Linked DNA regions of Drosophila melanogaster. The protein of the gene in region 1 purifies or fractionates together with the protein of each later gene. This does not show direct contact. Each region holds a gene or a part of one and is shown on either strand. Other genes may lie near its edges.

Evidence for each region.
Region 2: the proteins of scw (region 1) and tsg purify together in Drosophila melanogaster (affinity purification with western blotting, with the first as the bait; one study listed by BioGRID). This does not show direct contact.

The regions. Positions count from the first base shown.
Region 1 is NT_033779.5:19,699,113-19,703,040, reverse strand, and holds scw (screw), read left to right. Parts: upstream 1-2,072; 5' UTR 2,073-2,118; coding exon 2,119-3,321; 3' UTR 3,322-3,662; downstream 3,663-3,928. Other genes in the region: Lar (Leukocyte-antigen-related-like), read right to left, coding at 691-714, 1,016-1,291, 1,373-1,519, 1,581-1,817. UniProt on the Drosophila melanogaster protein: Part of the signal that specifies dorsal cell fates in the embryo. Acts together with dpp.
Region 2 is NC_004354.4:11,987,426-11,990,765, reverse strand, and holds tsg (twisted gastrulation), read left to right. Parts: upstream 1-1,817; 5' UTR 1,818-1,853; coding exon 1,854-2,603; 3' UTR 2,604-2,704; downstream 2,705-3,340. Other genes in the region: CG18130 (uncharacterized protein), read left to right, coding at 1-47, 114-527; gd (gastrulation-defective), read left to right, coding at 3,080-3,292, 3,336-3,340. UniProt on the Drosophila melanogaster protein: Involved in dorsal-ventral patterning. Required for specification of a narrow strip of dorsal midline cells that will give rise to the amnioserosa, but not for specification of dorsal ectoderm cells.

The DNA.
Region 1 (3,928 bases):
TAATCTGGGATTATTATGAATTGAGTAAATAAATATAATAGCTGACTGAAAGATAGCTATGTTAGACTTTAGTTTAATGATCAAGTAGGTTCACAGAACTTTGTATATACCATTCTGTATAGTTTTAGGCCAGTGATACAGGGCTCCTAGCCGGGCTGGGACACATTATGATACCCTGTGAGAGGCGCCAGAAAAAACAGAAGTGGCCGGAAAGGCATGTCAGACAAGCGTACGCTTACGCGGGAATTGCCAGGACTAAAACAGCGTTGCATGCACCCAACACACACACACACCAGCACAACCATCAGCATCCAAACGAACGCATAACAATGCAAACTTTATGGGATTTACGGGGGAGGATATCACCCATACCCCAGCTGGGGCGCCACCCCGCACACACCCCCTCCCCCCCCTTACGCGCATACGTCAGGATATCGCCAGGACGCATGGTTCTGGATCGCAGCTGCGTATGCAACGATTTTTTTAACATTGCATTTACCTTTGATTCTATCTAGCTACTTGTTATTCCGCTTTCTTTGCTCCTTTTTTTTTACTTTTTGTACTTTTTTCTTACTTTTTATACCCTTTTCACATTTTTCGGGTCGGATTTGTGCTGCTCAACAATTGTTATTGAAATTGTTTTGCCAATTTTTGGCCAACCATAAAATTTTGTTTGCCAAGGATACTTACTTGTGCCACCGAATGAGAAATCGCCTGAGAAGGCAAAAGCATGTGAGAATGACAGAGAGAGAGAGAGCGGAAGAAAGAGAGAGGGAGGGAGATGGCAAATAGACATTTTCAAGAAGGGTTAGTACGATTGCCGACATAATGGACCAAGGCAAATAAAAACGGATCTAAGCGCACTCTAAATTCAAAATGAAATTGGTTAAAAGTCCTTTTGTGCAGCATGTGAAAGATAGCGAGGCGAGAGAAGAGGGCAGCAGTTAGTAAAATGTCCTCCGAAAATAAAGCGGGGCATCCATAGCCCCACATCCGCGATACTCACTTGTCTCACCGGTGGTACATGTCGCTGGTGCCGAGGGCGGTCCGCGTCCAATATTGTTCACGGCTATCACGTAGAACTCGTACTCCGTGTAGGGACTCAGGGCACGGACCACATAGTACATGGTGATGATGCCGCTTATCTCGCTGAAGGCCTGGTTGGCGTTCTTCGGCTTGTACTGGATCACGTAATATTGCAAGTCCTCGGGACCCTTGTACGACCACTCCAGACGCACCGAAGTGGCGGTCACCTCGGAGATTTGCACATCGGTGGGTGCGGTGGGCAGAGCTGTGAAAGACACCAGGTCGTGTTATTACGATTATCAGTTTCCCATGTAAGTACATCGCACTCCAAGACCACTCCACTTACATTGCACTTTAACCACCGAAACGGAATCGATTTGGCCCAAAGTGGAGGCCGCTATGCAAGTGTAGTTGGCGCTCTCCTGGATATTGATCAGCTGCAGGACATTTCGTCCGATTGGCATCTCATTCTCGGGTGTAAGATCTTCGGAGCCTGAAAAAAAAGGATAGGAATTGAGTATTGAAAGACCATATTCTACAACCATTTGACATACCCTTCATCCACTTGACATGCGGCATGGGTGAGCCGACGGCAATGCAGGATAGATTCAGATTAGATCCCAACATCACCTCGCTGATGGTCTCTGGTGGGCGGGAAAAGGTGGGCGGAACACGACGGACTTTCACATATAAGTTGGTGGCCTTCGAGTGCTCCGTGCCCATTGAGTTCTCAGCCACACACTCGTATTTGCCCTGATCCTCCTCGCGACTGTTTTCGATTTGCAGGAAGCCTAAAAGAAATAAGAGCGATATAGTTAAGATTTATTTGAAAATTCATACAACTTAGGTCATACTTAAGAATCTATGCTTATTGGAAATATACCTGATATTTATTTCTAGAACAGCTGCCAAAATTTCAGCCTGTACCTGACCAATGGGTTGGTTAACCCTTTATATAGCTTTATTTTACAATCCATCCAAATGCAGTTGCCCACTGATGCAATTGAACTACCTGTTTTCCATATATAAGATACTATTCTATGACCAAGGAAGTCAGTATTCGTTCGAGTCTCTCTATGAGAACAACACAAAATGTTGAATGTGTTTTTTTTAACCAGCCTCTTTTATGCTGCAAGTGCCACCACATATGTGACCACCAATAATCACATCGAGATGCCCATATACCAGAAGCGTCCTTTGAGCGAGCAAATGGAGATGATTGATATCCTGGATTTGGGTGACCGTCCGAGACGACAGGCGGAGCCCAATCTCCACAATTCAGCATCGAAATTCCTTCTCGAAGTTTACAACGAGATTAGCGAGGACCAAGAGCCCAAAGAGGTCCTGCATCAGCGCCACAAACGCTCGCTGGACGATGACATCCTGATTTCCAACGAGGATCGACAGGAGATTGCCAGTTGCAACAGCATCCTTACCTTTTCGAGCCGCTTGAAACCCGAGCAACTGGACAACGAGCTTGATATGCACATTACCTTCAACACCAACGATGTGCCAGTGGATTTGAGTTTGGTTCAGGCCATGCTCAGGATATACAAGCAACCAAGTCTGGTGGACAGAAGGGCGAACTTTACCGTGTCCGTGTACCGAAAACTGGACAATCGCCAGGACTTTTCCTATCGCATCCTGGGCTCTGTGAATACTACGAGCAGCCAACGTGGCTGGCTGGAATTCAATTTGACAGATACGCTGCGGTATTGGTTACACAATAAGGGACTGCAACGTCGAAATGAGCTAAGGATATCAATTGGCGATTCCCAGCTGAGCACCTTTGCAGCTGGATTGGTGACACCACAGGCCAGCCGCACCAGTTTAGAGCCCTTTATTGTCGGCTATTTCAACGGCCCCGAGCTGCTGGTCAAAATACAGAAACTTCGTTTCAAGAGAGATCTCGAGAAGCGAAGGGCCGGTGGTGGTTCGCCACCACCTCCTCCGCCGCCGCCCGTGGATCTGTACAGACCACCGCAGTCCTGCGAGCGCCTTAACTTCACTGTGGATTTCAAGGAGCTGCACATGCACAACTGGGTGATAGCGCCCAAAAAGTTCGAGGCCTATTTCTGCGGCGGCGGTTGCAACTTCCCGCTGGGCACCAAAATGAATGCCACCAACCACGCCATCGTCCAAACCCTGATGCACCTGAAGCAGCCGCATCTGCCCAAGCCCTGCTGTGTGCCCACAGTTTTGGGTGCCATCACTATTCTGCGGTATCTCAATGAGGACATCATCGACCTGACCAAATACCAAAAGGCAGTGGCCAAGGAGTGCGGATGTCATTAGATTTAATTGCCTATTTCGTTTGTGATGTACATAGTCATGGTGTAGTTATAAGTTTAAATAAGATGAATACAACTAAAAGTACTTCTAAAACTGACATATTTGTGTTTTAAACCTAGGCCGTGTTCGCATATCAACTGTTTAAAAAGGCTTTCAAAAATATCCATCGATGCTTAAGTAAGTTACTAAAACTCTTCATTAAACTCAAGACCCAACTAGTTGCTACACTTACGAGAACCTAAGCCTATTTGAATATTGTGCTGCAAGACTTTTATGCTTATTAAGCACAACCTCTACTTGTTACGCTCTTTTATGACCTGCTTTCGTAATGGGCACAGGGGTTTAACCGTAACAGACTCGTAAGATCTTAGATTTATCAATAAATTTGAAAGTCAAATGATGTTTGCTTATCTCCCATCACTTTGATAGGCAACCCACATTATCCTTGCCCCATAAAAAGGTCCTCAATTCACCTTTATGCACGGAATCCATCCACTCGACTTTGGCATGCGGATGCCACGGCGGCCATGAGAAGCAACACATGGAAAATTAACACTTTTTATATGATTTTAAAAGCCATATAAATTTTACGACAAGTCACCGCCATCCC
Region 2 (3,340 bases), on another chromosome or scaffold:
AGCCCCAGGAGGAGGTCGTCGTCGAGGTCGAAAAGAAAAAGAAGAAGGTAGAAGGCCTAAATGGTTTTACATTAATAATATCAAATATTTTAATCATATTTCATATTCTTCAGAGCAAGCGGGCCACCGAAATCAATCAGGAAATGGAGGCAGCGGCTGCAGCTGCAGCTGCAGCGGCGGCTCATCCTTCGGAGGCTCCTGCTCCAGTCGAAGCAGAAGCTCACGCCGCAGAGGCTCCCGCTGCCGTGGAAGGAGATGCCGCACCAGCGGCTGCCGAAGCACCGCCAGCCGGAGATGCCGCACCGGTGGCGCCACCACCAGCTGAGCCAGCCGCCGAAGGAGCGGCGCCAGAGGCACCGGCTCCAGCTCCAGCTCCAGCTCCAGCTCCGGAAGCCCCAGCAGCGGAGGAGGCGCCACATGAGGCGCCCAAGGAGGAGGCACCTGCCGCCGAAGCGCCACCGGAACCGGAGGCAGAAGCTCCTGCTCCTGCTCCTGCCGAGCCTGCACCTGAGCCAGCAGCCGAGTAAACCAGTATAGCACTCATTATTACTCATTATTTGGCAACTAAATTTTTTAGTGTATACGCGAAAATTCCCAGTTGTTGAAATGTTAAAATTTTAAATTTAATAAAAAACTGAAATAGCATTCAATTTGTTGCGTAACGAAAATCGTTGCCTTTGAAATGTACAAAGCTATCTAAAAATATGTAAATAAAATTCAATATTTTGGTCAAAACATTGGAAATAATGTTGCAAATATGGAGTGTCATACCTCGTTCAGCTCGTAATTAAATTCCCAATCGAATGGCGTCCAAATTTAGAAATATTAATTTTTTCAGTTTTTTGACAATTTTTATGATGTTACCCCTTACAAAAAATGCAAAAAATTGGCCAAAAAATAATTTTACAAAATTCGTCAAAAAGTGATAGGGTTGGTTAGTATTGGTAATTAGGAGCATAAATCGGTAATTATTTTTGTTTTGTGACCATTTTTGACCAAGTTATACCAAAAATCGTTCACCCGATTTTTGTTGTAAATAAAAAAATCCGTATTTTGGTCAGAAAATTCGAAATAATGGTCTATAAATTGAATGTTATACCTCAACGAGCTTGTTATTTAAATTCCAATCGATTTGGGTTATAATTTGAGGAAAATTTTTTTTTTTTAATTTTTTTCGCATTTTGATACCTTACGAAAATGCAAAAATTGATCTTAAAATTAATTTCTTAGTATCCGCTTAAAAATGATATGGATCTTTAGCATTGGTAATTATCTGAGCGAAACTGTTTTTCTTTTAGCCATGTGATGATTTTTGGCCAAGTTATAAATTATGGCATTTTTGCCAAATGTCGTTTTTCTGACTTCCCTTAACATAATATATCGATTTTTGGCCAAAACACTTAACAAATTGTAATTATACCTGTTAAGTCCTTAGAGCCAATAATACCTGTTTGCGGTTAAGATTTAGGATTAAGAATCTGCATTTTGTTTTAGCCAACCAATGGACTTTATTTATGTTACCTAATTGGCTTATTTTATAACGGTTCGTATTAGTCAATAATACAGGTAATGTTTGCGTGTTTAATCCTAGAAGCTGCCTTAAAAGTAAGGCTATTTTGAGATGATCATCCCTTATTTTGGCACATTTTATAGGAGAAGTTACCTCTAAATGGTTTTAAATGACCAGCCTGCCTGCTGAGGGTCACTACCTGATTTTCGCGACACGAGGATTAGCGGATTGTGGTAAGGATGAGCCATCTACCTGACCATCTGGATACTAATATTAAAAAAACATATAAAGGCATGCCGCAATCGTGGATAATGTATCATAAGGCCGCGAGATCTCGTCGAGAATGCAGTTACTGTGCTACTTCGTCATCCTTTTCGTTGGAATCGCACCGTGGTCATCCTTGGCCAACGATGATGGATGCAACGAAGTGGTCTGCGGATCGGTGGTATCCAAGTGCCTCATCACCCAGAGCTGCCAGTGCAAGTTAAATGACTGCCACTGCTGCAAGGACTGTCTAAATTGCCTTGGCGAACTGTACATCGAGTGCTGTGGCTGCCTCGACATGTGTCCCAAGCACAAGGATGTCCTGCCCTCGCTGACGCCGCGCTCGGAGATTGGAGACATTGAAGGAGTGCCCGAGCTGTTCGACACCCTAACCGCCGAGGATGACGAGGGATGGTCCACCATAAGGTTCTCCATGCGAGCCGGCTTCAAGCAGCGCGTTCAGGGCGGCGCGAGTGGTGATGCCGGAAACGGAAATGGAAATGGAAATGCCGGGTCTGCAGGTGTCACCCTATGCACCGTGATCTATGTGAACTCGTGCATTCGGGCAAACAAGTGCCGGCAGCAGTGCGAGAGCATGGGAGCCAGTAGCTATCGATGGTTCCACGACGGATGCTGCGAGTGCGTCGGCGAGAATTGCCTCAATTATGGAATCAACGAGAGTCGCTGCCGCGGTTGTCCGGAGGATCAGGACCAACTGCTTACCGCCGATACCGTTCCGGCGGAGGCTGAACAGGATCTGGAGCGATTCTTTGGCAACGAGGAGATCGAGGACGAGTGGGGCTATGGCGAGGAGGATGAATTTTCCTAATAGCACAGATAATTTCAAATAAATGTGGTTCTTCAAATTGGAGCTTGGACCTCATCATAGCAAACGATCTCTTTGTAAATACCCATGTAAAATACCCATGTAAAAATAGCAAGGCATTTGCTAATTTAAGTTTTTATAAAAAAAAGACAACAATAAACTTGGAAATTATAAAAATATTCCTTTTAGTTCTAACAGTGGATCCAGTAAATGTTTCGTAGAATCCATATTTGTGGGATATAATTAATTTGTAAAGTTTTTTGAAATTTGAACTTGCACGGAATTGAGAATTTAAAGGATCAATTTCCCCTCTCTCATTTTAATTAACAGGGGTTACTTTCTTGGTCTGGCAACTCTGTTGGTGGATAAAATGCACACAGTGTTCCCGGACTGTTAAAGCTTCGATCGAAATTGCGGCATTGTTTACGTTTGTTTTGAGTGAAAAGCATTTTCATCCCGGGCATTCCCAGACACTAGCGATGAGGCTGCACCTGGCGGCGATCCTGATCCTCTGCATCGAGCACGTAACCAAGGCAGTCGCCCAGGGAATGCCGATCAGTCCGTGCCCCAAGGTGTTTCAGTACCGCTTCGACGGCAGCGAATGGTTCGGCCTGATGGCCGTGCGCAGTCCGGATGGCCACCAGCCGCTCCACATACGAGTTACGCTCTCGATGCGTGGCAAGCCCACCACGGTAAGTGGTATATTGTCATCCAGATGTTACCTAATCCCCTTAGTACAC